Kluyveromyces lactis: one gene and its partners. The protein of the gene in region 4 purifies or fractionates together with the protein of the main gene of each other region. This does not show direct contact. Links are inferred from orthologs where the notes say so. Each region holds a gene or a part of one and is shown on either strand. Other genes may lie near its edges. The genes, in order: CWC2, RSE1, PRP45, CLF1, BRR2, CUS1 and PRP46.

Region 1 (3,646 bases), on a different chromosome or scaffold from region 4:
TCTGTTACTGTTAGAAAAAACGCTGGTATACAAATCGAGACAGAATACACAAATTGCAGAGTGCTTTTAACGATAGTAATCTATATGATTTGATGACTTCGGTACATAGATATTAATATTTATTTTACAGATAGGTGGGTGTAAGTAGATGCTCGAATCAACTGGTATATGCCAATTGGAAATTAGTCTTGCAGTCTCAGTATATGCATTGCAAGAAGAGTTCAAAAATAGTAGTTGTGAAGTGGAAGTAGTTGGGGTTAATTAAACAAGCCAACACCAGGAAGCAATTAACGAAACACTCGGTGTTTTGCGATTATAACTTTCTCTTTTCCGGTTGTTCTGTCGACAGTTTTCATATCTCTACAAAGAGCTTACTTCCTTAACAATTTCATCGAATGCAGCACGGTATTCTTCTTCCTTAGCCTTAGCATCTTTCTTCTTGTTAGAGCCTGGAACGATGAATACAACAGAAGTAGGTCTCTTGGTGGCACCAGCAGAACCTAGATCTTGCTTCGAGGGCACAAAGATATATGGAACAGATTGGTCTTCACACAAAACTGGCAAGTGAGAAATAACATCTTGTGGGAAAATATCACCAGCAATGACTACTAACCCTTTATCACCCTTTCTCAAAGCCTTGACAACCTCTTTGACACCTCTTTTGACATTCTTAGCCTTGGAAGCCTTCTTGACGGTCTTTAACACCTTTTTGTTCAGTTTCTTTGATGCTAGAGGTTTTGCAAATGGTAGAACGGCAGGAAGTCTAGCTTCGTAGTTGTCTTCTGTTGATACACTCTTATCCTTGGCCATCTTTGTTATTATGTATAGTTCTTCACTGTTCCCCTGGTTCAAATAGAGCGAGCAATTGATTGAGAAAGGAATCAATATCACATCAGCAAGATAGGTTCATCGATTCATTCAACAGTTCAATTCTCATACTCATCGCTCTTCTTTTTGTTAACAAAAAATGAAAATTTTCCAGTACCGAGTAACATGAAAAAGAAATAAAGTATCAATTACAGTAGGGACGACATAAATTAATCCATGCGACACATAAACAACTTTTCAGAATATCGTGCCAGCGTCTTGTTTCGGAGGTGGTACATAGCAGTTGTAGAAATGTCCATCGCCTAACATTATTCTGGATGAGTCCCTTTAATTTCATACAAAACTTGGAGTTTTAAATGGCGAACAATATGTACAATGATTAAACTCTGTAGGAGAAATTAGCTGTTCCAGGTGCAGGGCATTATTGTCCTGTGATCACTTCACTTGTATAATTAAATACTTTAAAAGGTTTAAATACTCCATATACCTCTTAATGTCAGGCAATGTAGTCTTAGTAAACCTTGAAGTTTGGTTATAGCATCATTGAAAATTACAACACACAAGTAACTTCTCTCGGTAGCCAAGTTGGTTTAAGGCGCCAGACTGTAATTTGAAAACACAAAGCAATTTGTAATCTGGAGATCGGGCGTTCGACTCGCCCCCGGGAGACTTATCTTTTTTTCGTTTCCATTTTGTTTTTGATCATGATCGTTTTCACTAAAGAAAAGTTCCAACCTTGAAGTTTATTGAAAACACTTTGGCCTGCGATGAGATGAACATGGAAGATGTGTGCTCGACAAGATACAGTTTTCACCGTTATAATACGGTATCTGTTGTTGCATAAATTGGACGGTTCAAACTGTTTGCTTGTTCGAGGTCATTAAAGAATACTTGGTTTGGCAAATTGCCAAATATTAAGGTCATCGTCATCAATATATTATGACTGGGGATTGGAAGAACCGACCAGCAAGGGTTCAGTTACAGGAGTCTGACCTACCTTCATCAGTACCGCCTCAGACGGGTTTGGCTTTCAACGTATGGTACAACAAATGGTCACAGGGGCAAAGTGGGTCCACTAGGTTCGTCACACCGTACTCGCTTGATCCCGAGAACGATTCTGGTATCACTAAAGGTGATAAAGAGGGTCGGATTCATTTCTGTTTGTATTTCGCTAAGGGAATGTGCTGTTTAGGCAAAAATTGTCGGTACTTGCATCATATTCCAGAGCCAGATGATTTTGCGAGGTTAGCTTTGCATTCCTCTGCGTTAGATTGTTTTGGAAGAGAGAAATTTGCTGATTATAGAGATGATATGGGTGGGGTAGGTTCCTTCAAGAAACCTAACCGTGTCTTATACGTGGGTGGTATTACAGGGGCACTCAACAACAAAACTTTGAAACCACATCAGATTGAGAATAGAGTGAAATACAAGTTCGGGAAACTTGGAGAATTGGATTCTGTTCGATACGTGGAGAGTAAGAATTGTGCCTTTGTCAAGTTCAAATTACAGTGTAACTCCGAATTTACTAAGGAAGCAATGGGCAATCAGACTCTATTAATACCAACCGATAAAGAGTGGGATCTAAGGAAGGAGGGAACTGGGTTGCTTGTGAAATGGGCGAACGAGGATCCTAATCCAGCTGTACGAAAGAGAGAATTGGAAGAACAAACCCAAGAGACTTTGAAAGCTATAAAACAACTAGTGGCTAGTACTGAAGGCACTGTAAATCAAAAACGTAAAGTTGAAGAAATCAACGAAGTGAGAGATTCGCAGGCGAACAGTCGTGAAAGATTCAGCATTAGGGAGAATGCAATCATAGATAAGACTATTTTAGATAAGTTGAAACAAAGGAAAGTGACTATTACCAATACCAACGTTGCTGCAAATATAACAGTTTCAAAACCATCGTCGGTTTTACCTTTGGTAACCCAATATTCATCTGATGAAGACTAGATTTCGTGAAGTCATGTGACACATTGACTTTTCCAGATTAGGTATATTTTGGATTACTGGTTGCCGTCATGAACAACATCTAGCGGATTTCAGATTTGTTTTACTGACATTGCAAATATTTGAAATGAATATAAAAGCTATCAATGCCTGGTTTTCAAATTATGTCGAAGTTGTTTTGTCGAGTTCACTTACTTGAACTTCGTCAGTCTACGGTTTGGCCTTCATCAAAAAACACGATAATTTTGAATCAGACATCCGAAAAAATGGAAGACAAGGCACAGGCTCAAACAAGAACGCATGAATCGTCAGACCATTGGGTATTTCCAGGATTGACCTGGAATCCTAAATGCATTATTAGCTAGCACACTGTAACTATTTACGTTAAATACTCTAATTCATATTGCATGACTCTAAAATTTCAAGGAAAAAAGTCTAGTCCTTTCATATAATAATTGGTTTGTATGAAGATTTGTCAACATTGTATTTCGACATAGCTTCTTTTGAGATGTAATTTTCTCCGGTGAAGTCGTTCTTTTTGACATAATCGAACAATTTAGCCATGGCAGAATGATCTTCCTCCTCGGTTAGAAAAGTAAGTGCAGTACCAGTTTTACCAGCACGTCCAGTTCTACCTACACGATGCACAAAGCTGTCAAACGACTTAGGAAATTGTAGATTCACTACTAAAGAAACGTTAGGTATATCGATACCTCTTCCAGCGACATCAGTAGCTATGAGAATATCTACTTTCCCATTTCTCAAAAGACTTAAAGAGTGTTCACGTTGTTCCTGTGATTTTGAGCCGTGAAGAGTTGTTGCTCGGAACCGAGCCTCTCTAAGTTTGTCGAATAACCAGTCAGCTGTT
Region 2 (4,765 bases), on a different chromosome or scaffold from region 4:
ACTCTGAATCATCTGCAGAGTAATCGAACAATAAACATCCATTCTCAGTTAAGAAACCAGGATGCATGGATTTCCTGAAACCAGATGGTTCGTTCTTATAAAAAATTGATGGCTTCAAAACCATAAACCTTGAAAGACCCTTTTCCTTATTAAATATTAAGGCAATTTTTTGTTCTAAAGTATCATCTTTTTGTACTTGAAACGCATAATCGTACTCTAAATCATCATTCATACGCACGTAAACCTCCATTGCGACTAGTTTGCTATTGGTTATTGATGTTAATTTTCCCACAAAACCGGAAATATTCGCCTTCCTCTCTGATAAATCTTGAAAAAGTACTGAGTATAGTAACTAGCACTGCTTTGTTGTAATCTGATCTTAACCTTATACCGTCTCTGGTTGGTTCGGATGGCAAATTTGCTTTGGTGTAGTAAATTACACTCTAGAGTTCAGCCTTTTATCCTAGAAGAAAACATTTCGTACTTACCAAGTTTTAGCATATGTCATGTTTCCGTTATTATATATTATTAAGGTTTTTCCTGGTGAAAAGGAACGGACACACAGAGAGGAAGAAGAAAAAAATAAACACACACACAGAGCTGATCTGCCAATATGAGTCCACCCGATATCTGTATGCGGCCGATTAATATTTCCCCAGTAACAATGTATAAATCAACGTGTAGAGACAGACAAAGAGTTTTCTCATACTTGCTCCTCTGACCAGAAGAGAAAGTCAAAAAAACCAATACAGAGTGTCTACCAGTCAAGCTATGGCATTTGAATCCTCATACGGTGTTTTTCTTTTCTGAAGAAGAGAAACACCTACTTAGAGTTAGTAGCGTAATACGCCTTGTGCTTTGAACTTGGTGAACCATATTTACGTTTCTGCACCATCAGGTGCACATTTGTGGGGTTACCAAAACGTGATACCGTTTAACGACACCAGTGCCAGAGCCAGTGCCGGTAAGGGAACAAGTAGTATCGAATTACATGCTGATCTCGTAATGGATTAAAACAATGACTGTGTGCCTTTCTTTCTCAACGTACAAGCATGCCTGTACGCTCTCTTCATCGTAAGTTTTTCCGTCCATATGGAGCGATAAACAGCCTTTGCGTATGTTTCTGTGTTTTCTTATTCCGCTTTGAACGAGCACTTCGCTCCTGCTCCAACAGAAGTTTTTCCGAAACAATGTGGAGTCTCATGTCATTCTGGTCACGTGATCGCATCTTTTCGTGTGACGTGATGTCAGGGTAACATGTTGTTGACTTTTTGGGATTTGTTGGTCACGTGTAAGTTTTTGAAATAGTATTTCCTAACTTCTTCATAAGGGCGGCAAAAAACCAAATCTGAAAGTAAACAAAGTAACTAACAACAGCGCACTTCTTGAGTGCAAGTTGACGAACAACACTACTGATTACCATCAGTATACACCTCTGATCATCGTCTGAAGCGTGTGTTTAGTTACCCGCTAACGAAGATCGGATGACTCAGGACTCTGAAGTGTTGCTATGGCACACTGTTTTACAACGACATAGGAACTACGTTCATTCCTGCATCGGTGATTTTACTTTGGATAGATCATCATTAGCGACAGCAGAAGCTGATACAACAAGTGTTAAGGGACCGAGGTCATCGAAGAAGCGGAAGGAACTGCAATTATGTCTAGCTACACAGGATTGTGTCGAATTGTACGATGTTAGCAATGGAACATTGGATGCGTTGGGTAAATGGCCTATAGCAGCTACTATTCTTTCTATGACCAAGTTGAATATGGATAGATGTTCACATACGATTTTGGTGTTGATAACTGATTCTGGGAATTTAACATTTTGGCAGTTTGAGAGGGATTCCGTGAGCGGGAAAGTGTACGTGCGTACTTTGGCAAACGAACCGATTTCCAGATCTGGGATCAGAAGGTTTGTACCTCAATATCAAATGGTTTCGGATCCACAGAGTAGATGTGTATTTTTCAGTGGGATTGAGCGTTCAAAGATGTGCGTGTTGGCTGACTGGCAACGTGGGAAATTGGTTGTTGGTTCTCCTATAGAGATTCAACGAAGTGATAGAATCACTTTGGCATCGGCAGCTTGTGATGTAAGTTTTGATAATCCGGTGAATGCTGCCATAGAGGTAGAATCTGGGACAAATGATTACTATTTGTCTTTTTATACAATGGATTTGGGTCTTAACACGTTGCTACTCCGGAAAGAGCATCTTTTAGAGGATAAATCCATCAATTTCGTTATGCAATGCCCAAATTTACAACAGTATAAGATTAAAACTAGACCGAATGATGAAACTGATCAAGATTCGGTAAATCCATTTGTTATTTGTGGTTATGATGGATACTTGACTCTGATAGACTTAGAAGGCTTTTATGAAGTGTCTGTTCAACTCCCCGTCAGAAAAACTGTTTCGTCAACTAATATCATCAACGGTACTATTCATAAATTGAAGAAAGATTTTTTCATCCTAATGCAGTCTAACCACGGAGATATGTACAAGGTCGGAATTATCCCTGATGAAGAAACTAAGGCGCCAGTTCTTGAAATTGCATACTTTGATACACTCCCCACTTCTGAAGACATCCACATTTTCAAGTCAGGTGCTCTTTTCAACGTATCAGAATTCGGGACCTCTTATTTAACACAGTTCGAAAGTCTTGGTGAAGATCTAGAAAAAATTACATCTTATACCCCGGGAAGGAGATCATTTATTGAAACAGAGTCCACTTTGAAAAACCTATCCATTCTTGACTCCTTAACTTCTTTAAATCCCTTGACGTCATTTCATGCATCAAATTCGACACCACTCACGATATTGGCTGCAGCCAATCAAACTGAGAATCTTGTTAAATTGACTTCTGCGGTTGATTTTGAAGAACTTATATCAACTACATTACCTAGAATACCATCAAAACTTTGGACCGTTAGAATTCCTAAAAACGAAACTCACAGTCTGATATTTCTTTCTATGGAAACCTCAACGACCATCTTGAAGATCCATGAGGGAACTGTCGAAGATTTTGGTGGAGATTCAAACCCATTTATTTTGAACAAACCATCATTGTTTGTTGGCGCTATGGTTCAAAGAAGTATTATTCAAGTTACTCGGGATTGTCTTTTACAAATTATTGAAATGCATGATGGTCCATACACCAAAAAACTTGAATGGTATCCACCAGCTGGTGTTGGCATCGTGACAGCATTTTGTAATGAGACACAGTTAGTTGTCGCTTTAACAAATCATGAAATATGCTATTTTGAAATCATAGAAGATTCGTTAAACGAATTACAGGATCGAGTGGAGATGGATTCTACAGTGAATTCTATTGCATTGCTCGCCGGTCAAAAGTCAGGCTATTGTGTATTAGGATGTGAAGATTCTAGTCTGCAGATTCTCAACTTACAGAGTAAACATCCAGATTTTTTCACTATCTGTGCTATTCAGTCACTAATATCAAAACCGCACTCTCTACTTTTCATGCGGGACACGTCGGATCTTAAGATCCACGTAGGTATGAAAAGTGGTGTTTATCTGTCATCTAAACTCAATATCAATGATGGCACAGTGTTCGATGTACGTACTAGATTTGTCGGAACGAAGCCCGTCCAGGTAAATCTCTTGGACAATATAGATATCAATCACAAAGATGATGATGATGATGAACCTGGAGAAAATGATTCAAAAATAGACGATTTCAAGAAGAAGATTTCGGATTTCACTCCACTAGTGGTATTGAATTCAAGCATATCTTGGGTAACTTACGAAATTGATGATAAAATCACATTACGTCCTTTGAAAACAGATGAGGGGATAACCTTGAAACATATAAATGCTTTTATCACGGATGATATCAAGCGCAACGGCTGCTGTTCCATAACCAGCAAAGGGCAACTCCTAATCGGCAAATTAGATAACTTTTTGTCCTGGAGTAACTGGTTCAATGAGAAAAAGTATACCCTTGTTAATGACGAACTTAAAAACGCTGGCAATGAAGAAGAGGATGAAGATGAGGATGAAGATGAGGATGAAGATGCAAGTGAGAAGTACGAAATCGTTGGTTATCAATCACAACGGATCCTTTCAGATACAACGGACAATTCGTTATCATATGTTATTTCAAAGACAGCTAATAAAGAAACCAGTCTATCAGCTATTCGCGATGATAAGCTATTGGCAACAAACAATGGGAATACGGTCGTGATTATTGCTAAAGAGGTCTTTAATGCTGTCTGTAGTTGCAATTTCGGTACAAATGTTAAATATATTGTCATATCTACTGAATCAGGGAAATTTATTGTGATTCAAATTCGAGTGAAGAACAACGTTCTTGAAACCCAATACATTCATGAAACAATGGTGCATAGTAAGGTCAATGCCATGGTTTCGTTTGGAGATAAATTGGCATGTTGCATTCTTGGCAATGTTGTCCTATTTGGACTAGGTAAAAAACAATTGTTGAGGAAAAGCATCACCGAAATGCCACCATATATTACCCAAGTAACTGCATTAGACCAATGGGATGGAACCATGTTAGCAGTTGGTGATATTAGAGAATCTGTTACGATCTTCAAGTATGATATAGATAATAACAGCTTCATTGGAGTAGCAGATGACATTGTGAAAAGGCATGTTACTACAGTCAAGTTCATAGATGTATCGAGTGTTATCGGTGGGGATAGGTTTGGTAACTGTTGGGTCCTTAGGGTGAACTATGAGAGCGACACTAGAGTCGCATCTAACATTAAAGCTTGCCAATA
Region 3 (4,069 bases), about 1.4 Mb from region 4:
TTTTGCTTCACACAGGAACTTGAAAAAGATCTTATAGAGGCCTTTAAGTCATATGGAAACCAGAATACTGTTTATCAAGTTCAGTTTAACAACATCTCATCAGCATATCAAAGATTGTTGTTAAAATCTACGCAGATGTTACGGAAAGCTGCTAAACTCGTTGATTCGTTTAGCACCCAATGGAAAAGTATATCAGATAACATGAAAGCCAGCAAATATGACGATATGAACATCGATGAGATGGCAAAGATGGCGGAGGAAAAGTTAGCTGTAGATGAACTAGCATACAACGAAAAAATAAAGGAACAAGAAAGACAAAGGGAGGAAAAAAAGAATTCCAGTCTTTCACAAAAAAACACATCATCTTCATCTTCCATAACTTCAAATTCTTCCTCATTAAACGTTTCTCCAAATATTTTATCGCCTTTAAGACTGAGCCGGACATCTTCAGTTTCGCGGTCAGAAGAATCAAGGTCCCCATCATCACCAATACCTTTCACTGATGCGAAGTCTAATATATCGGCTAAAAAGACCAGATCAGTCAGAACAAGAAACAGATCGTCATCATTGCAATCAGTATCAAGTCTTGAAGATACTTCCACTGCTCGGAATGGTATGAGATCCAATTCTCTTCAATCAGGTTCTCTGAATACACAAAGAATTGTACAGAATGCATATTCAAAAGCATTACTCTCGTTAAATGAGAAAAGAGGCCCAAGACTAACACCAACAAAGCTGAATAATTCTATAAGATCAAAATCACCTTCTCCAACTGTGTCACGGCAGAATTCCGTAAAACAGAGGAACAAAGTGAACATATTGAAGCTAAATGAAGTAGACGAAGATGACATCAATGAGAAATTCCACGATCTGAAGCTGGACGATGATACTCTAATCGTCTCTCAGGAAGTGTTATCTCCAGAAGGTAGTGAAACTCCTAAGATCATAGTTTCTGTTGCCGATGACAATCAGTCGTCTTCAAACAACGACAGCGAAGTTGAAGGTATTGTGAAAAAGGTGAGATTTATAGGGGTTCCGCCTATGTCACAAGATGAAAACCCTGAGCCTAAAAGACGCGGATGGTACAAGAAGCCTGCCGTGTTGCATTATCCACCTCCACCTGCACAGCACTCACTTCAAAAATTCAGAACAACTCAAGAGGGTCTTGCATTTCGCACAAGTTTGATCTCCAGAGACCAAGGTTCTGATAAAAAGTTCGGTTTTGACAGCATGTACTCATCAGGTCAAGGGGCGGATACTAAAATAGTGGGTAAAATCAAGGATAAACTGTTTAAATAGAAAGAATCTTTTAATTTCTATTTGCAGTGAACTTATTTCCATTATAATATCAACTTTTAACAATGTATTTGAAATTTAGAGAAAATATTTAACTATTGAACATTCCCATAATTTATAAAGTAAAGTAGGTAAGGCTTGAAACATAGGAACAAACCTGTTATAACACCACTAGAACGGTCTGACATGTCATTCAGGACACTCAGCTCATTGCTACCGAGTCCGCAAAACTCAGAAGTCTCCGAGTCTTCAGCATTTTCTAGACAATCTAAGGAAAACATAAAGGATACAATAATATTAGACAAGCTACGACCGGAGAATCTACCAGTGGCCTCAATATCTGACTTTGTACCTCTTAGACAACGTGATATATCACTAGAGGCACCGTTCCCATCGACATCACAGATTAATCAAACATATGTAAAGACTAAGGCGTTTCTAGACTCGCTGCTAACGAAAAAGAGCTCTCTACAATTATCGTCTATTGCGAACAAGGACATCGTAAAAAGAGAAGCAATAAGCTCTGTAAAATCTGGTACTCAACGTTCAGTTAAAGTAATAGAACATAAGAAGGATCCTTTACAACCGGTAACACACAGGAAAAGGAAGGTCGTTGTACCATCGGAAGAAATTCAGGCGCCTATACTTCATAAGTCGGATGACCCTAGTATTAAACCTACAAAGGAAGAGCTTGATAAATGGAGAATTCCATCCGCCATTTCGAACTGGAAGAATCCTAACGGATTTGCTATTTCTTTGGATAATAGAGTTGCTATTGAATCAATAAAGACGGACTGCCCAGATAATGATAAGAAGGACAATTTCCTTCTGCTATCTGAGGCACTAGACGAAGCAGAAAGAGAAGCAAGACAGAGAATCAACATTAAGCAAGAGGCGTACAAGGAGTTAGAGAAGGAAGAAACTTTAAAAAAAGAACAAAGGTTACGTCACTTAGCTGAACGTGCTAGACAGGATAGGGAAAATAGGCGACAGTACGAAAATGAAGATCATTATGTTAGGGAAATGGAGCGTAATCAACGTAGGAGAGCAGAACGCGAATTGGAACGGTCGAATAAAATGAGCACAGCAGAAAAGTTAAGACGATTGGCGTACCAACAAGGAAGAGATGTTTCTGATAAAGTTGTTTTAAATGCTGCAAAAGCCACCGAGACCCCAGATCTTCAGTACGATTCCCGCTTGTTCAAGAAAGCGGCATCATCTGTGGCATCATCTTCAAATCAAATTTTCGACCATCCATTGTTCAATAATAGCCAGATTGACAACATTTACAGGCCAACTACTGGTTCTAACTTAGAAAACGAAGATATTGTTGATCGACTCTCAAATAAGAAAGGAAGAACTGGACCGGTAGAGTTCTCCGCTGCTGATGATGGCAAAAATGCGGAACAGAATGAGGAAGATAACGAGCATGCCAGAGAATACGGTCTTCAAGTGCGTAAGAAGCCTCATACTTCTTAATTGTGCGATACCGATATACTGATATAATTGTATGTAATAATATTCAAGCACTACTAATTGAATGAAATCAGCGAATCAGTCATTATTTTCATCGTCAGTGATTGAAGAAAACTCATCATTCCTATCATCTGTCAGAAGTATTCGGTTCAAACGGTGACTTCTTCTGATAGCAAATAACTCAACTTTTTTAATAGTTCCGCTAACTTTTATTGGATTCATTATGATGGGCCCAACAGATTCAATCTGGTTCATCAAAGCAAGTGCCATTATTACGTACTGATGGTCATCATGGCCACATCGTATTATACCGGTTGATGTTCTATTCGAAAAGTATTTGATCTGTAACAAAGCCGTAGCCTTTCCCAAGCCATAGTCCCCGAAATTCACCTGTAATTGTTTTCGTAGTTCCTGCAAAATATTTCTCGGACTGATAGTATTTGGTGATACTTTGTGATGCGTGGTTAAAATGTCCTTCTTGGTTATATCTGGCACTGTTTCGTACTCATCATCTACATCTGGATATAGTACTTCGAAAAGAATGTATCTGCTCTTTAAACGAACCATTGGATTTCTTCTATTTTGCCTATTATGACAGCAAGTTTTATTAATAGTAGGATGAAACCCCCGAATAAACGTTGTTGCACAACCGTCCTTTATCAAAATCTTGATTCCTTCACAGTTGATCTCCATCATAACTCTAAATCTTGTAATGTGAAGCATCTCTCTTTTTTTTTTTTTTTTTTTTTTTTTTGGTTTGTCGCATTCAAGTCACAGAAGAAGAACGAGAATACGCCAAGCATGTCCAATATTTTATGCATTATTGCCGCATCACCAACCTTAACTAACAGATTGTGTAAATATCAGATAATTCATTCTCTATATAACAAAAGGCGTAGCATATCTTTCAAGTAATATCATATATAGTTGAGTTGAAAATCAGAGTTCTCATGCATATATTTACAAAACTTTGAGACTTGAGATTAACTTCAAGCCAATCGTAGCCAAAGAGTTTATATTAAAGCGGGTGAAATTAGATAGTCAGTCTCTCTTTTAGCAAGGCTTCAACTTCCGCAACAGCGGAGTCAATACCGTTTGGTTTGTCACCCATACCTTGGAAGACATTTCCCTTACCACCAGCTTTACCACCGATGCTAGAGGATACTGTTTTGGCTAAACTAGAACCATCAACACCTTGAGCAATTGCTGCGTCAGATATGTAGCATCCGTGAGCAACCTTTCCGTCTGGTTCATTACAAGTGAATAAGTAGATAGACTTGTCCTTCGAGTTTGTTTT
Region 4 (4,494 bases):
TCGACCTCATTTTCCCTTATTGAAGACGTAAGGTCTGTTTGTAATACATCAAAATGGCTATTCTTGCAACCATTCTTCGAACAAGTGTCTAAGGTAGCGTCCAATGCCCAAGGGTTCAAATCAGTTGCCAAATAAAGTCCATTGGCGTTTGGTATACCATTTTGCATAAGAAACGTAGAGACTATCCCAGAACCAGAACCAATTTCTATAGTCAATGGTACTGCGTCATTGAACCTGTTATTCAACCAACTCAGATCAGCTTCTAATGCATCTAATAAAAGAAAAGAGTCCTCGCTTGGCTCGTATACTTTATTATAATCATAAGAGACGTATGGTGTAGCTAGCATCGCCCTGTTATCCTAAGCCCTGATGAGCTATAGCTCGCATCAATATCTGTTCTGCACCTGTATCTTTTCAAACATGGAAGTCATCGCATATATAATATTGTATTTGAAAAGTTGATATTGAACAATAACGTATGCAAAAGGTCATCTAAAAGAAAGTAATTAAATTGAAGCTTAACAACTAGTCTACTGTTTGATACAACTATTAATCACCATTTTCAGAGAATCGACAATCAGTTGCTTGTTTGTGGTTGAGAAAGATGCAATTAAAGGTCAAGACATTAACAGGGAAGGAAATCTCCGTAGATGTTCAAAGTTCAGAAACGGTCTATCATATCAAAGAGCTATTAGAAGAAAAAGAGGGTATTCCACCATCACAGCAGAAGTTGATCTTCCAGGGCAAACAAATGTATGTTAATTAACTGATAATTCAGAACTGAGAAGAGTTTGATATCAAATTAATGTAGGGACTCTTTTACTAACTAGTAAGTAATGCTATCTTTAAATCAGAGATGATAACGCAACAATCGGCAGTGCCGACTTGCAAGATGGATCTCTTTTACATCTTGTTCTAACTTTAAGAGGCGGTTGTTGAGAGCCATGTGTCATTGCATTGCGAAACCTCAAGATACGTATGTGTATAAGTATTTTGCAGATAAATACCTGGAGGAATTACTCTGCATTTAATAAAACGACTATAATTATTGGAAGCTAACACTATGAATGACATAATTTACATTTACACGACCGTCCAATTATCAAACAAAGGAAGGATGTAACACATGCTTGTTGCTTTTCCTTGTATGCATGAATGAACCTTATAAATACATAATGATTCAGATATCAAATTTAGTGCGAACATTATAATTGTAGAAACAGATGAACTTAACGACAACGATGCAAACAAAAGTAAGAAAAACACGGATAACTTACCTGACTATACTGTAACATGGGTGACAATAGTTTATCCAATGAAGCCATCACTGCCGATAATATTTTGAAGGATGCCTTTAGCCAAAAGAAGCAGATTGCAGCTACTACGAAGGCAGATATATTAGATTTGGAAGAACTGAAAGACTGGCAACGAAGGAAAAGAACAGAGTATGAGACAGTTTTGAAAAGAAATAGGTTAGACCTTCGTCAATGGATGAGGTATGCTCAATTTGAATTTGATCAGAAAGATATACGAAGAGCTAGGTCCATTTATGAACGCGCTCTTCTTGTTGATCATGGGTTTATTCCACTATGGATTCAATACATCGACAGTGAAATCAAATGGAAAAATATCAACCATGCAAGGAACTTGTTAGACAGAGCAACAAACGCTCTTCCTCGTGTTGATAAGCTCTGGTTCAAATATCTTTTATTGGAAGAATCTTTGGGAAATCAGGGTATTGTACGAGGCATTTATACAAGATGGTGTTCATTTGAACCTGGTCCCGATGCATGGGACTCCTTCATCGAGTTCGAAACAAGGTGCTTGAATTTTGAAAATGTCAGGAACATTTACTCGAAGTTTGTTCTAGTCCATCCTCAAATAGATACCTGGTTGAAATGGGTTCGTTTTGAACAAACTCATGGAGATATATCATCCGTACGAACAGTGTTCTCATTCGCGCTAGACACACTCACAAGTTTCAGCGGAACACCACTGGTAGATATTGAACGAGTTATTGGTAGCTTCGCTTCCTGGGAAGCTTCTCAGGGAGAGTATGAACGATCTAGAACGTTATACCGACTAGCAGTTGAAAGATGGCCAATTTCTGAAGCATTAAAGGAACAGCAGATTCAGTTCGAGAAGAAGTTCGGCTCTTCGAAAAATATGGAGGACATAGTAATCGCTAAAAGGAAAGCCGAGTACGAGCAATATCTAAAATCAGATCCCTATCATTATTCTACTTGGTGGGTCTATATTGACCTGGTTGAGGAAAAATATCAAGAGCAATTGACATCAGCTTTCCAGTCGTTCATTGAATTGGCAAAGCCGAAGTCCCTGGTAAAGGATTCGAGCTGGAAGAGGTACATAAGAATCTGCGTACGATACTTGGTCTATCTAGAGCTCACCATTAATGATTTGCCTACGATACGCTCGGTTTATCAAGACATCCTCGACATCATTCCACATAAGAAGTTTACATTCGGTAAACTGTGGATAATGTATGCAGAATTCGAAATTAGGCAGAACAACTTGCTGAAAGCAAGAAAAATTCTGGGTGTGAGCTTAGGAAAGTCCCCCAAGCCAAAAGTGTTTAAATATTACATCAATTTGGAGATAAGGCTAAAAGAGTTTGATAGAGTGAGAAAGCTATACGAGAAATACATCGATTTCAATCCTAGTTCAGTGCAATCATGGTTGGATTATGCAGAATTAGAAGAAAATTTAGGAGATGAAGATAGATCAAGAGGGATCTATGATATCTCCATGAGCAATAATGTTGGATTATCTGAATCGGACCAGCTGATTGTCATTCAGCGCTATATCGCTTTTGAAACTGATGCAGCAGAATATGAAAAGGCTAGAGAGTTGTACGAGAAGTATTTGATTTTGAGTAGATATGACGTGAACATATGGATAAACCAGGCGCTTTTCGAGAGCACTATTCCAACTGAGACCCAACTAATAGCCTATCAACAATCTCATCAAGACGGGAATTTTGACGACGATGGCGAAGAGGAGTTCAGTTTTGAAATTACACCTGAGAATAAGCATCACACCAGGGCTATTTTTGAGAAGGCAATTTCATATTTCAAAGAACATAATGAAGATAAGAAACGCCAGCAAGTTTTACAATCTCTCCTGGAGTATGAGAAAGTTCATGGTAATCAAGAAACTTTGGAAAAGGTCAATGCTAGACAACCAAGTTTGGTTAGGGAAAAAGTTACTATCGATAACATTGAGCAAGAGTCATATAAATTGGATTTTCCGGACGATCGTGTTGCTCAACCTCCTATTGCTCGAAATCTTCTAGCTTTGGCAAAACAATGGGAGAAAAATTCCAGCTGATATGTAACTTTATATTCATATACAGATAATACAATTGTAGATTTAGAACACGCATTTAATCAGGTTGGCATATAGGCTATTGAGAAAAAATACGAATTGTATTAATTATTCGTTTCATTATCGGTAAAACTTTGTGGCAACTGGTTTGACGGTATCGAACTGGGTGTTGATATCGTAGAAGGGGTAAGCCCAGGTGCATTCATTGTCGGTACAGATCCTGGGGGCATTAATCCTGGAGGAACGTTGCCTGGTGCTGCTGCCAATCCTGGTGCTGCCAATCCTGGTGCTGCCAATCCTGGTGCTGCCAATCCTGGTGCTGCCAATCCTGGTGCTGCCAATCCTGGTGCTGCCAATCCTGGTGCTGCCATTCCTGGTGCTGCCATTCCTGGTGCTGCCATTCCGGGAGGAGATAAACCTGGGGGTGCCATTCCTGGAGTAGCAATATTTAAGTTTCCTTCAGTGATACCTATTCCAGACGTTGAATTTTCTGCAGCCAGAGATTCGGATCTGGCTGAAACAGAAGAAGGTGAACCTACAGAAGAGTTGGAGCCCGCTGTAGCAGTAATCCCATCACCTCCTAGTCCATCAATAGAAATTTGCATCATAGGGGTTAGTCTATGAGTATTTACGATAGTGCTTTGGTCGTGGATGTTAGATTCTGCATTTTTGAATCTTTTGGCTGCGTCGGAAGCGACCTCTATTCCAATTCTCTTTCTTCCGAATGTTTGTACATAGTTATCTTCTCTTAGTGTACCATTCAAAACAGCAAGCTCTCTCAACTGACCTCGCTTCAAATCATTTTGACCTTCAGGTGAAGTGATCGCCTTGACGACTATACTTTCACAGGCCTTGATTCCTAATGGTATTTTGTCCTCTACATCTGCAATAATGATGCAGTGCAATGGCTCATTCATATTCATTGCACCTTTCGGTAGGTCTGCAGCAGCTTTACCTGATCTGACGGATCCTCGTCCTCTGATGGAAATCTTACATCCCGATTCTTGTTGAAGCTTCTTCAAAGTATTACCACGAGGCCCTAGTAATAGCCCCACAAAATTTATATCCGGATAATCCTCCGTAGGGATGTAATATTTGTCTTGAAACCTTGTAGGTCTTCTATAGTCGTCCGGTGTAACGAAGTTTGGT
Region 5 (4,833 bases), on a different chromosome or scaffold from region 4:
ATGAGAGGATATTCTACCTAGCTCAGTTGGTTGTACCGACTTAGAAAGAGAGTCATAGTTTACAAGACCGTTATTCTGTAATAAATTCAACGCCGTATGCACAATATTTCTGTTGACTCTTATGAGCTCAGCATCACTCATGTCTCCTGAAGAACCTTGCAAGTTGTATAAATGAGGTGATTGCTTCATCCGTACTGATAAATAGGAATAACCCAACCAGTTAACTGCTTCATCTAGTGAGGTGACGTTACCTAGAACTATTTCAGCATTAAGATTATCAACAACTTTTGAAATCATTTGAGATTCTATAGGGAGTTGTTGGTTCAACACAGCGAGATAATAACGTACGTCTGATTGGTTTGTAATAATGATCCCTTCACCATTTACGTCGTATCTCGGCCTACCAGCTCTTCCTAACATTTGAAGGATATCTTGTGGGGGAAGCATGACCCAATCACTTTTCTCCGGTGAATACATTTCTGTACCTTTAATTATGACAGTGTGGGCAGGAAGGTTAACACCCCATGCTAAAGTTGCTGTGGAAACAAGAACTTTTAGCAAACCATCAGCAAAAAGGTCTTCGGATAAAGATCTATCATCCTTTGTAAGGCCTGCATGATGGATACCGAATCCATAAGGTATAAGGTCGGAGAGCGATCTATCAGTAGCATTACTGGATTCTGTCTTGAGGATTTCCAAGGAACCTTTATCGGTACCTTGGAACGCACTTATTTTATCTTCATTTATAAGTTTTTGAATAAGCCACCTAGCAGTTCTAGCAGTATCCTTTCTCGAATGAACGAAAATGATAACTTGGTGTCCTTCTTTTGCGGCCTCCAATAATTTATCATAGCATGCCTGGTTCATGGCATTCTTCTTCTTTAAAGCATTTTTCTCAGTGATGCCACAATACTGTTGTGCTAAAGGACATGGCCTGAAAGTTGAATCAAAATAAAATAAGCCATTATCAGGAACATGAAGGAACTTGGCCACGTCAATGTAGTTTGGTAAAGTGGCAGAAAGTGCAACAAGCCTCGTAGGAATTTCTGCCGTTGTGTCCCGTAGAACCCTTGCTACTATTGATTCAATGACCGGACCTCTTTCATCATGTAATAAATGGACCTCATCTATGATGATCAAACGTACGAGTTTGTGAAAGCTAGTGTCTGTTGATTTTCTTGTGATTACATCCCATTTTTCCGGAGTTGCTACTAAGAGTTGGGTTTCTTCGATTTGCTGCTTAGATAAGTTGGAATCACCTGTAAGCTCTGCTACCTTCACTCCAAAATGATGTAACCTTCTTTGAAATTCTCTGACTTGTTCTTGTACCAATGCCTTGAGCGGTGCGATATAAACCACTTTAAATTTTTTCAAATCGAAGGCATTTCTCTCTTCCCGATAGTAATGGGACATTGCTCTTAGTACAGTCAACATTGCTACGTTAGTTTTACCAGCACCTGTGGGGGCACATAGTAATACATTAGCGTCTGTATTGAAAGCAGTGGGGTAGACCTCAGATTGAATTCTGTTTAGTGAAGTCGTTTCAGACGTAGGGAAAGCACTGCGAGCCCATTTCGGTAGGCTCTCGATCTGTACAAGCGGGAAATTGTCATCAACCTTCTTGGGCGGGGGAACGTGAATTTCTTCATAGCTATCTTTGACTCTTTTGAATGAGTTTTCAGGTAACGAAATTTTCACGTCTGACAAAAACTTGGTATTCTGCGATAATTTAAGGTCATCGAGGGCAATTACTTTGGGTTCATCTTCAGCTTCTATTTTTTGTTTTTTGGTTCCAACTTCTGGCTCTGAATTCAACTTTCTTTTAGCAGAATCAGGTTTCGCCTTATATGCTTCTACCAAGTGTGATAAATTTCTTTGTGCCATTTCCCCTAGAATTTCGTCAATGTTCTCGTTCGCAGACCTCTGTAAGTTGTGACCCCAGTACAATGTCTCCCTATTTGAGACTATTAGCCTAATCAATTGTTTCGCATCAGGTCCGAAAATATCGTGGAGATTTTGGGTCAGTTCCTCTTCAGAGATGTCGTTTGCGAGCAGGTCGTATACGTTATTGGCCATTTCCTGAACCTTTGTCTCTTCAATATTTTTCAGTTGTTTCCTGATCTTCCTCTGAAGATAAAATCCATCAATATCTTTGATATCTATTATTTCTTCCATGACAGCTGCACTCTGTATTTGCAAAGATTCTGAATTATTCATTATGTCACTTCGTACAGAAAAATTATCATTACTATTGTCTGTTTTTTCATTATAACCCGCTTCTTCATCGGCCTCTTCCCCTGCCACGTCATCTACAGCTTCTAGTAGAGCATTTGGTTCCTCTTCTTCTTCTGCTTCGTCATCATCTTCATTGGGATTTATCGCTACATTTACTGTTCTACCGGTATCGGCGGATTCTGCGTAGTAATCAGAGATACTTTTCACGAGCTTTACAAGTGAGTTGAATGAAGCGTTGTCTAATTCAGTATCCAAAGCTACTTCAATAGTCTTTTTCTTGCTCTCTAGGTCTACACTTTCATCCTGCTTCAAAGTTACTATTATCAAATCTGTTGCGTCTACTATAATGGAATGCGGTATATCATCACCGAGTATCTCAGAACACCATGTAGTTATCTCATCGTATATCTCAGTATTTCTATCATCAGTCGGTATGTAGTTCAAAGACGTTATATCGTCAAGTACCGTGGTTCTGTCCAGCCTTGAGCTATTCGTCTGCTGAGGCGATGAGCTTTTCATACGCTTTTCGAATTCTTTCTCTGCTGTAGCACGCTCGTTATCTTCTAATCCGTTCTCCTTAACGGCAGATCCCATTTCAGTAAGCCTGATTCTACCAGACATAGACTTCGGCTGTGATATTTCCGCATCACGATGCACATCCGTCCTGTTCTCTATCAAACTTCTATCAGCGCGTAGTACCTGATTTGACATTTCATCATAACGGTAAATCTCTTTGATTTTCTGCTTTCTTTCTTTAGCATCTTCGGTCATCTCTCTGTCTAAGTATGTACCTTATCAGTACTGACTATTGCTTGATTTCAACTCGCTCTATGTGCATTTTAGATACCACATCTAAGCTATACGATGTTATTCCATTCATATAATTCATATTCGACTAGCAAATATCAAATGGAATGCTTAATTTCAATGTGCGGGTAAGCTAGATATTTCCACAGTCAGAGATTAGCACTCAATATAAGAGAATACAGATTGAAGAGAGGTAAACTACTCTTAATACCAAATTATATACCGAATAGCTCGCCAAGACGGAGCTCGGCCGTTTTGCAGAATTGAACTAAACGACATTACATTTATTTTCGTCATAAATTGAGGAATTTTAATGATGTTATAGCATGTCAACTCCTAGTTTGAAACGATCTATCAGTGAAATCAGCGATAGGATAAGCAGAGCATCCCCAAGAAAGGATAAGAAGGTGAAACGATCATCTACGTCGGTTCCTTCCTTTCCTTACACGAATTTGGATCATGTGGATTTGACACGACCTAGTGGAGAACGGACGTTGCCAAGTGAGCTGCAATGGTATGACAAATTTAGTCCGAAGAGAGTTGATGACATCGCATTGCATAAGAAGAAGATAGAGGAAGTACGGTATTATTTAGAGGGTATGGTCTCAGGGAAATCAGATGAACGGATTCTTCTGTTAAGTGGGCCTGCAGGTTGTTCTAAAAGTACTTGTGTTAAGCTTATAAGCGATGAGATAGTGCCTCGTTATAGAGCTACGTCAGGACTCACAGTGAGTGGAAGGGAAGTTCCGAATTTTACAGAATATCTTACAGATATGAGTAGCGTTTCACCATCTGAGTCGTTTGATGATTTTTTGCTTCAATCTAAGTACTTAATCGGTAGGAATTTGTCAGTACTTCTTGTCGAAGATCTGCCGAATGTTTTCCACGAGTCAACGTTGAAAAGGTTCAGGGAGAGTATTCTCTCGTGGCTCTTTGCTTCTGATCGTCTACCACCACTGGTGATTTGTCTTACTGAATGTCAACTACTGGACTCGAATTCTACTAATTCATCATTTGGAATAGATTCTACCTTCATTTCAGAAACAATCTTGGGCAAAGATATCTTGATGCACCCGTTGTTGCATCGAATTAAGTTTAATCCCATCAATGCAACATTAATGACGAAGCATTTAAAGCAGATAATACAGAAAGTTAGAAGAGAAATCCCCTCAGAGAAATACCAAAGAAGTGGCACTTTCATTAAGAACCTTGCATCTAGTACAGGTGATATTCGATCTGGCATCGCGGCATTACAATTCTGGTGCACTTCTAGCTTTGATGAAACTAATAGTATTTTCACGAGAGAAAGTTCAACAAGTTATTTCCATGGTATTGGTAAGGTAATATATGGATCGAAGGATAATGAAAATGATAGGTATATGATAAATGAGCTTGTTGACGGCGGAACAATTGCCAATGACACGTTCAAATTGGGTATCCTGGAGAATTTCTCTAAATTAAACAAATCACAGTTCCCGCTGCACTATGCTGCAGATGTTGTGGACACATTGAGTATAACGGACACACTACGACCTCTAGAAGAAGAACCTCTGTATTATTGTCTTGGGAAAGTTAGAAATATTTCTAGCGATGTGAAAAGTTCCAATCACAGCGTACATGGTCAAGCAAACTTTCCAAGAGAGTATAAGATGGTTCAGGAACAAAAGAGGTTTCAATTTCAATTGCAGGATTTCATTGCTGTTGAATTTTACAAATACCACTCCTTGTGGTCCACCAAAGACGCGGTTCTTTATGGGAGTTATTTTGGTCCTGAAATACGTAAATTCCTAT
Region 6 (4,039 bases), about 850 kb from region 4:
GGGCTTCAATATGAAGAGATTCTAAAATGCCATCCACAACTATTCCCAAACTTGTTTTAAAACTTACGCCTTCCCTTCAACATCGAGACATCATTAATACATAATTTTAACCTGGCTACTATATACATTCCTATCTCGTTTTCATGCGCTGCATAATCAGATACACAACCTTTATAAATTTATACATCTTTAAATTAATTAGCATATCATATTTATTACATTCATCATATGTACAGGTTTCATTCTATTTAAACTTTTCTGATAGCGTAATTGCGTGCTAATATTTCATTTTTGTGCTAAGGACTCATAACCTTTCAATTTTAACCATTCTTTGATTCCACAATTTGCAAGTAATTTCGATGCATAGTCATTCTCATAATAATGCTGTAGTTTTCCCGAGTTTTTCACATCGAAGCTTCCATCAGCTAATCTCTGGATCATATCCACTTTGGTAAATACCATTGGTATTGCGGCCTCATTAAACAGCCTTATTCCATCTTTTGTAAACAAAGTTGGAGAGCTCATTATCATTATGCTCGAGTTTCTTTTACGAGCGGGAACTTGCATGGAGAATGATCCAATTAATTCCCGTACCTGGCGGCCAGTAACTTTATCTGAATTGAAAGCCTTACATTGAATGTAACAGTCTAAATATTTATCGGGTTTCACCCTATGTTTCCATGGTTTTATCGATGTAGTCGGAAGTTTCAAACGTTTAGGTAGCTCATCGAATTGTATTTGCATTTCTATAGCCTTTGTTAATGGTAAAACGTTCCATTTGCCCCGAATATCAATGCCGCCATCATATGAACCGCCAACTACCTGCATATCCTCCAGTCGGAGCTTATTCATTAATTCTCGTACCACCGTGAGCTCATATAGCGTACCTTGAAAAACGGTAGAGTTGGCGATGCTCTCATTGGCAGCAATATACTTCTGTAAAGTATCTTTGGGAAATGAACTTGCAAAAACCCCTTTCCAACTCATCTGTATACCTAATAGGCTATCATGGACAAAATAGACCAGCTGGCGTTCTCGCCATTGTTAGTCTCATCACCTCCATGTATCATTTGTATCACCAAAATTTGGATCGGATTCAAATAACTAAAAAAAATGTAAATGTCATAGAACCGACATACCTTGAAGTCTATTGATCTAGCTTACATACAGCCATATACATGCAGTCATCACTTCAAAAGATGATTTCGACACAACCAATTGTTACCCCTGAACCAAAAGGATCAGAAAATAGTGGTAATTCCAACGAAGATGTTCCCACCGTGTTTGAGATAGCCTCAGATATTCAGCAAAAGTTACAGGACTTACTGCGGAAAGTGAATGACGATGATGTACAATTTAACAAATTCGCCGATTCAATCAACGATAGACTCAAGAATTTAGAAGAGTGATTCGTTATTATCCATAGTCATATAGCATCTATCACATGTATACAAGACCGTTGAATGTTGCCATATCTGTTCACGTATAATATAATGGTATAAATTTCAACATTTAATTGAAAAATATATGTGGTCTTAATAAAGGACATAAAAAAGGCAAATTGACAGATGAGCATACAATAGTATTCTGGCTCGACTGCTTATTAATATAACAACAGTCAACTGCCCACCAGATATTGCACTATGGTAAAGAAAGCCAAGGCTAATAAACGCCGTTCAAAGAATAAAAATGGATCTGTGAAAGAGGATGCAGAAGAAAGGAAGAAGAGGCTTTCCAGTTTGTTACAACAAGTGTCATCAGAGAATGGCAACACCTCGCAACAGGTAATTAATGAACCTTTAGTTATCAAGGATGAAAGTCTCAATAAAGTGTTACAAAGATTTAAAGCTTCGGCTACAGGGGCCGATGAGGATGATGATTCAAAACGGGAACAAGCCATAGTACGAAAAGAACGGGCTGATATTGACGATGAGGATGCTGAGGGTTCCGACAGTTTTGAGGATCAAGCGGATGAAGTACTTCAAAATATATCAGAAAGACAAAAGAGACTTGCTAACAAACCAAGTATTGCTGTTTTGAAAGCTTCAGTACCATATCCGGAACTCATCGAATGGTTTGACTGCGATGCGCAATGGCCTTATTTCAATGCAGCTATAAAGACAACACATAATACAGTGGGGATCCCCAGACATTGGCAAATGAAAAGAGGTTATTTATCTGGACGATCAATGATGGAAAGGAAGCCATTTCAATTACCTGAGATTATTAGACAAACCGATATTGAAACGATGCGAGAGACTGTTCCCTCTGGAAACGAAAAGCAAGCAGAGAAATTGAAGGATATTACCAGAGCAAAAGTTCAACCCAAGCTAGGTGTATTAGATCTAGATTATAAAAGGTTGTACGAAGCATTTTTCACTTTGGGAAAGAATTGGAAACCTGAACTATTGTCATTTGGTGATTTATATTATGAAAACAGAAGTTTGGATAGTGAACTCGAATGGAAACAAATAAAGACACGATATAGACCAGGGTATCTATCGGAAACTTTAAGGGAGGCATTAAATCTCACGGAGGGGATGCTCCCGCCTTGGTGTCATGAAATGAATAGATTAGGACTACCCAAATCATACCCTGGTATGAAAGTCTGTGGAATAAATTGGGAAATCTCTAATCTTACCGGTACACAATACGGATACTACCCTGAAGATACTTTGAGAATACCCAAACAAAACTTATTCGGAGCCATGTTCTCATTTGAAGAATTAGAAGATCAAGACGCACATATTGATCCAGATCCGTTGAACGAATCAATTTCCGACGATGAGGTGTCTTCAGACGCCAATGAAGCGGAAGCAACAAAAACAGAAAGCGAGACACATGAAAACAATAATTCAGGCTTAGTGCCAATTGATGGAGGCTCTGTAGTCAACCAGCACTATGATGAAAATAGACCCTTATTTACTGTTCTAACGGAAGCTAAATCAAACGAAGTCGACGGATCTACAATAATCAGTTCCACTACCTCTTACAATATTACGAACAAACGATCAACAAGCGTAGAGGAGAAGGACGATGATAATGTCTTACATAAAAAACAGAAAGTGGAAGAAGAGCCTGACTTCCGTTTTTGATCTTTACATTAACTCGTTAGAAACCCTACGTTTCAAAAGTGTCAGCTGTTTCCCTTTAATTACGTAAAATATTTGTAAATGTGAGTATGTAACTATATCAAAAGTATCATTGGATTGCAACATGTTTTAACTTTATTGCAGTAGGTGAGTAATAAACTCCTTGAATCGTACCAGCTCCGCTTGCTAACTATTACCTTCAGTTCGTTCAAACCCAAACATTTCATTTTCAATGTATCTCTAAACTGAAAAATTTACAATAGTCAACGTCTAAATCATGAAAATTATCAAGTTCAACAATCATATTCATGACTGAATAAATGGAGAAACACTCTTACTGGCTTGCTTATCTACACTCAGCGACCCATTGATCTACACTAGCATGTATAAAAAAAAGGGACTATCTCACGGGAAAGTGGGACTTCCAATTGGTAGGTCTAAGGATGACAGCAATATGTTGGAAGCACTGCAACTATATGAAGGTAAAAATTACAAGAAGTCGTTGAAGATCTTGGACACAATCTTGAAGAAGAACAGCAGTCATGTGGACTCTATAATTTTGAAGGGATTGAACTTGCAATTCTGTAGTACACCTGAAGAAGCTGCTAGTTACATTGATAAAGCGTTATCCAAAATTAAAGGCACTCTTGTAAGTCCAATTGGTGGACACTTATTAGGAATTTATTACAGACAGGTGAAAAATTACTCAGACGCTGTAAAGTGGTTCAAGGCCGCATTAGAAAATGGTTCTACAAACACTCAAATCTATAGAGATTTGGCGACATTGCAATCTCAAATTCATGATTTCAAAGGCGCGCTGGAATCGAGAAAAAAGTACTGGGAAAACTACAGAGGATATCGTGCCAATTGGACCTCATTGGCCATAGCACAAGATTTGAATGGGCGTACGCAAGACGCAATCAATACTCTTTCGACATTTGAAGAGC
Region 7 (3,808 bases), about 610 kb from region 4:
GTACAACATCATTCACGGTGAAAGTTTGAGCAGCAACTTCTTCTGCTGTCACTGGTCTTGCACGAATAAACTTCGTTTCGCGGAGGTCTTCATCAAAGTCATCCTCGTCCTGTTTGGCTTGGTCATCAGACTCAGCAGCAGATGTTTCGTCAACAACAAGGTCACCTTCGATGACATTCAATCCAAATAATTTAATCCTTTCGCTAGCGACCATGTTCCAAACATAACTTTGGTAAGCATGCACATACATAGTTCTCAAGTTTCTAGGAATCTTTAGAATAGCATTGTGATATGAGCTAATAGGGTAATCGTTTGATGTTTCACATTTCTCCTCATGACATAGTGCATTGAGAATGGCATTTTCTGCCAAACACTGATGTGGCATTGCTTTGGCTGCATAGATTGGGTTCCTGGTTTGTGCCCAAATTCTTCTAGCTTCTTTGGAAATTGGCAAAACATTTTCTTGTTCAGCCATGATCAAATCAACAGCTTGTTTCCAGTTACCTGATAATAGGACTTGCCCAATTTGATGCGTTGAAACACTGAACGTACCAAATCTTTGCATACCGAAATAATTGATGAACCCATTTTGTTCCAAGGATTTCATGCCATTGGCTAGGATATCATCCAAATCATCGCCTTCATTCTTCAATGAAACATCTCTGATAGCAATAGTGAATTCGTTTCCCTGTAGATCTCCCAAGTTCAATGGCTCATCTTCGAATTTGTAGCCACCTAGAACGACACCCTTCAAGCCCTTGTTTAGTCCGTTTAATCTGTCCAAACCAATTTTGGATAAAGACATTCTTTGACAAGTGACAGCCCTACGATCCTTTGTTCCAGAAAATCTGATCAACCTTGTTGGAATTCTCATGAATTTTGATAAAGTATTAGCGACATCCATAGTATCTTTGTTTTCCTTATAGACAGTAAAATGAATAAACGATTTTGATGGACCATAACCCCAGTTTTCGACACCGTTTGCATCCTTAGTTTGTTCGATCAATTCTTCTTTGCTAACACGTGTTTGGCGAGAAGCCATTCCAACAATGAAATGGTTTGAATCCGTCGTTACAGATTCTAACTTGTTGTCGAAAGCTCTACGTAGCAGTTGATGTATTTTAGTCCTTTCAAGTTTATCATCGAATGCCTTCGATGTTTCAATCTTTTTATTTGAGCGGTACACAGCTTCAATTTTTTGAACATCCTCTTCTCCCAAAAGTTCAACAAGTTCATTTCTAATTCCTTCATCCACCTTAAATCCTTGGCGTTTCTCAAGTTCTTCTTTTTGCGATTGCTCGATTTGTTCTCTCGTTGGCTTTGGCTTCTTTGGCATATTAAAACCTTTGTCAGTCAAATGCACAACTTCGCCTTGCTTGGTGATTTCATTGACTAAAAAGTCAGTGTACCTTTGTTTGATCTGACCATTGAAACCAACATTATCCATTGATAAGTAATGCGTGATACCAACATCCTTTTCAGTGATGTTGTTATTGTTTATACCTTCATTTATACCTTCACCAACTTTTGTCCTCTTAATATCTTCTTGCTGGGCAGCAGCTTCGGACTCTCTTTTCAAAGATTGGTCTGACATTATACCAATACTATACTTTAACACGAGAGTACTAATACCTGGTACTTGTTATAAGCAATTAAGAAGCGCAGCTTCCAGATTTGAACAACTGACTTCTGCTTCAATGTGATGAGATGAGATGAGATGAGCTCGAAATTTTTCAAGAAACGAAAAGAACCGTTTTGTATGATGGATATTATGAAAAGTTAACGAAGTGACATATACAAAGATGAAAGAGAGTTACACGACTTAATCGAACTGATAGACAACTAATAAGTACCAATGAATACATCCAGCCGTAGCTCTGAACCTTCGAAGGTAGCAGATGATGTTTACGTTCAAACTCGGTGGAATAATGAATTTAAACATGCTGATTATTTACCTGAGTCGTTACAGAAGTGCCTGGATCAAGAAAAGACTGTTTTAGAAAGGTACAGTGAATTAGTTGAGGTGTCGAAAACTGTTGCAAACGAAAGCTCTCAAGCATTAGTCAAACATACCACAAAACCAGGCGACCAACTAGTACGAAGAGTGTTCCAACAGCCACATCAGCAGATTTCATTGATGGAACGTTATGAAAAGACTCGAAGTTATAAACCGCAATGGCATGCACCATGGAAACTCAGTAAGGTAATAAATGGTCATACTGGATGGGTAAGATGTGTATGCGTGGACCCCGTTGACAATGAATGGTTTGCTACTGGTAGCAACGATACAACCATTAAAATCTGGGATTTAGCTGCGGGAAAGTTGAAAATTACTCTAATCGGGCATGTAATGAGTGTTCGAGATATTGCTATCTCAAAGAGACATCCTTATATGTTCTCAGCAAGCGAAGATAAACTTGTAAAATGTTGGGATCTAGAAAGAAATACTGCAATTAGGGATTTTCACGGTCATTTATCTGGCGTGCATACCGTTGATGTTCATCCGAGCCTTGATATAATAGCTACTGCTGGTCGTGATGCTGTAGTAAGGTTGTGGGATATACGATCAAGATCTGAGATAATGGTTCTGCCCGGTCATAAAAGCCCTATAAATAAAGTCAAATGCCTTCCCGTTGACCCACAAATAATCAGTTGTTCCGGGGATGCAACAGTTAGACTTTGGGATATCATTGCAGGGAAGGCAAGCAAAGTTTTAACGCACCATAGTAGAAACATCAGAGACTTGACGCTACACCCAGCAGAGTTTAGCTTTGCCAGTGTATCTACGAACGACGTCAGATCCTGGAAATTGCCCGAAGGACAGCTATTAACCAACTTTCAATCCCAGAACACTGGGATTTTGAATACCGTATCAATTAATCACGATAATGTACTATTAGCTGGTGGAGATGACGGTACTTTGTGCTTTTACGATTACAAAACAGGACACAAATACCAAAGTATGATGACAACTGAAGTTGCTGGCTCACTTGAAAGTGAGCGATCGATTTTATGCAGCACCTTTGATGTCACAGGAACAAGACTCATCACAGGGGAAGGAGACAAAAGCATCAAAATATGGAAGCAAGTCCCTGATGCTACAGAAGATACATTCCCTGGCTTGCCGTGGAATCCCACGTTAATATCTCAAAGATTCTAATCTAGCTGGTGTCTACTTGCAGCGACTTATGTAGAAGTTTGTAGTTTAACTCTATTAGGTCCCCGTTTTCCATCTATCTAGAATATTTCAGTCTGCATTAATTGCGAGGTTTGCTCTAACTGTCATATGATTACAGTCACGTAGTCAAGGACAGGGAACGTCAGGTTTTCTTGTATGTTTGTTCAAGCATGGTGTTTGCTTTAATACGGTAATCTGAATAAATTAACTGAAATTTAGCATCTTCAAAATATTTGAACTTATTAGTTACGCAATAAACCAAATCCAAAAACAGAGCACCTCTGTAAGAGGAACTAGTAAGGCAAGGCAACTGTTTAACAAATATTTTGGGCGAGCTCGCTAATACATGAGTCACGGCGAAGAAAAGGAACCTGGGATTCCCCAGAAGGTTGACAGCATCGATGAGATTTTCGTTGGATGCAAGTCATGGGTACTAAAAGATGGTCAAGATCGTCTTGCTGAAATTCTATCCATTAACAGCAGAAGAGATCCACCTAAGTTCTACGTGCATTATGAAGACTTCAATAAACGTCTAGATGAATGGATCACTGCTGATAGGTTACAGATAGACAAGGAAGTCATTTTTCCTAGGCCTAAAGAGCTTGAAGAGAAGAAAGACTCGAAGAAAAA

Evidence for each region.
Region 1: the proteins of CLF1 (region 4) and CWC2 purify together in Saccharomyces cerevisiae (affinity purification with mass spectrometry; 6 studies listed by BioGRID, with this or other methods). This does not show direct contact. The link is inferred for Kluyveromyces lactis from reciprocal best matches to the Saccharomyces cerevisiae genes CLF1 and CWC2.
Region 2: the proteins of CLF1 (region 4) and RSE1 purify together in Saccharomyces cerevisiae (affinity purification with mass spectrometry, with the first as the bait; 4 studies listed by BioGRID). This does not show direct contact. The link is inferred for Kluyveromyces lactis from reciprocal best matches to the Saccharomyces cerevisiae genes CLF1 and RSE1.
Region 3: the proteins of CLF1 (region 4) and PRP45 purify together in Saccharomyces cerevisiae (affinity purification with mass spectrometry; 4 studies listed by BioGRID). This does not show direct contact. The link is inferred for Kluyveromyces lactis from reciprocal best matches to the Saccharomyces cerevisiae genes CLF1 and PRP45.
Region 5: the proteins of CLF1 (region 4) and BRR2 purify together in Saccharomyces cerevisiae (affinity purification with mass spectrometry; 4 studies listed by BioGRID). This does not show direct contact. The link is inferred for Kluyveromyces lactis from reciprocal best matches to the Saccharomyces cerevisiae genes CLF1 and BRR2.
Region 6: the proteins of CLF1 (region 4) and CUS1 purify together in Saccharomyces cerevisiae (affinity purification with mass spectrometry; 3 studies listed by BioGRID). This does not show direct contact. The link is inferred for Kluyveromyces lactis from reciprocal best matches to the Saccharomyces cerevisiae genes CLF1 and CUS1.
Region 7: the proteins of CLF1 (region 4) and PRP46 purify together in Saccharomyces cerevisiae (affinity purification with mass spectrometry; 4 studies listed by BioGRID). This does not show direct contact. The link is inferred for Kluyveromyces lactis from reciprocal best matches to the Saccharomyces cerevisiae genes CLF1 and PRP46.

The regions. Positions count from the first base shown.
Region 1 is NC_006039.1:1,336,217-1,339,862, forward strand, and holds CWC2 (active spliceosome conformation promoter CWC2), read left to right. Parts: upstream 1-1,767; coding exon 1,768-2,781; downstream 2,782-3,646. Other genes in the region: snoRNA-binding protein NHP2, read right to left, coding at 361-810; mRNA splicing protein PRP28, read right to left, coding at 3,223-3,646. UniProt on the Saccharomyces cerevisiae protein: Involved in the first step of pre-mRNA splicing. Required for cell growth and cell cycle control. Plays a role in the levels of the U1, U4, U5 and U6 snRNAs and the maintenance of the U4/U6 snRNA complex.
Region 2 is NC_006037.1:720,733-725,497, forward strand, and holds the start of RSE1 (U2 snRNP complex subunit RSE1), read left to right. Parts: upstream 1-1,484; coding exon 1,485-4,765. Other genes in the region: GSF2 (Gsf2p), read right to left, coding at 1-250. UniProt on the Saccharomyces cerevisiae protein: Involved in G2/M transition. Required for pre-mRNA splicing and endoplasmic reticulum (ER) to Golgi secretion pathway. U2 snRNPs associated protein required for the pre-spliceosome assembly.
Region 3 is NC_006042.1:223,455-227,523, reverse strand, and holds PRP45 (mRNA splicing protein PRP45), read left to right. Parts: upstream 1-1,482; coding exon 1,483-2,775; downstream 2,776-4,069. Other genes in the region: protein phosphatase regulator GIP4, read left to right, coding at 1-1,299; RNA-binding protein POP5, read right to left, coding at 2,851-3,495; ALA1 (alanine--tRNA ligase), read right to left, coding at 3,806-4,069. UniProt on the Saccharomyces cerevisiae protein: Involved in pre-mRNA splicing. Associated with the spliceosome throughout the splicing reactions, until after the second catalytic step.
Region 4 is NC_006042.1:1,644,299-1,648,792, forward strand, and holds CLF1 (Clf1p), read left to right. Parts: upstream 1-1,293; coding exon 1,294-3,348; downstream 3,349-4,494. Other genes in the region: MTQ2 (S-adenosylmethionine-dependent methyltransferase), read right to left, coding at 1-347; NEDD8 family protein RUB1, read left to right, coding at 605-753, 855-939; mRNA splicing protein MSL5, read right to left, coding at 3,450-4,494. UniProt on the Saccharomyces cerevisiae protein: Involved in pre-mRNA splicing and cell cycle progression. Required for the spliceosome assembly by promoting the functional integration of the U4/U6.U5 tri-snRNP particle into the U1-, U2-dependent pre-spliceosome.
Region 5 is NC_006039.1:1,583,196-1,588,028, forward strand, and holds the start of BRR2 (ATP-dependent RNA helicase BRR2), read right to left. Parts: upstream 3,007-4,833; coding exon 1-3,006. Other genes in the region: RAD24 (Rad24p), read left to right, coding at 3,369-4,833.
Region 6 is NC_006042.1:789,915-793,953, reverse strand, and holds CUS1 (U2 snRNP complex subunit CUS1), read left to right. Parts: upstream 1-1,643; coding exon 1,644-3,095; downstream 3,096-4,039. Other genes in the region: MCH5 (riboflavin transporter), read left to right, coding at 1-25; RRG7 (Rrg7p), read right to left, coding at 286-987; BIL1 (Bil1p), read left to right, coding at 1,179-1,409; peptide alpha-N-acetyltransferase complex A subunit NAT1, read left to right, coding at 3,475-4,039. UniProt on the Saccharomyces cerevisiae protein: Essential splicing protein required for U2 snRNP binding to pre-mRNA during spliceosome assembly.
Region 7 is NC_006042.1:1,034,060-1,037,867, reverse strand, and holds PRP46 (mRNA splicing protein PRP46), read left to right. Parts: upstream 1-1,855; coding exon 1,856-3,160; downstream 3,161-3,808. Other genes in the region: pseudouridine synthase PUS7, read right to left, coding at 1-1,594; NuA4 histone acetyltransferase complex catalytic subunit ESA1, read left to right, coding at 3,525-3,808. UniProt on the Saccharomyces cerevisiae protein: Involved in pre-mRNA splicing. May also be required for cell cycle progression at G2/M.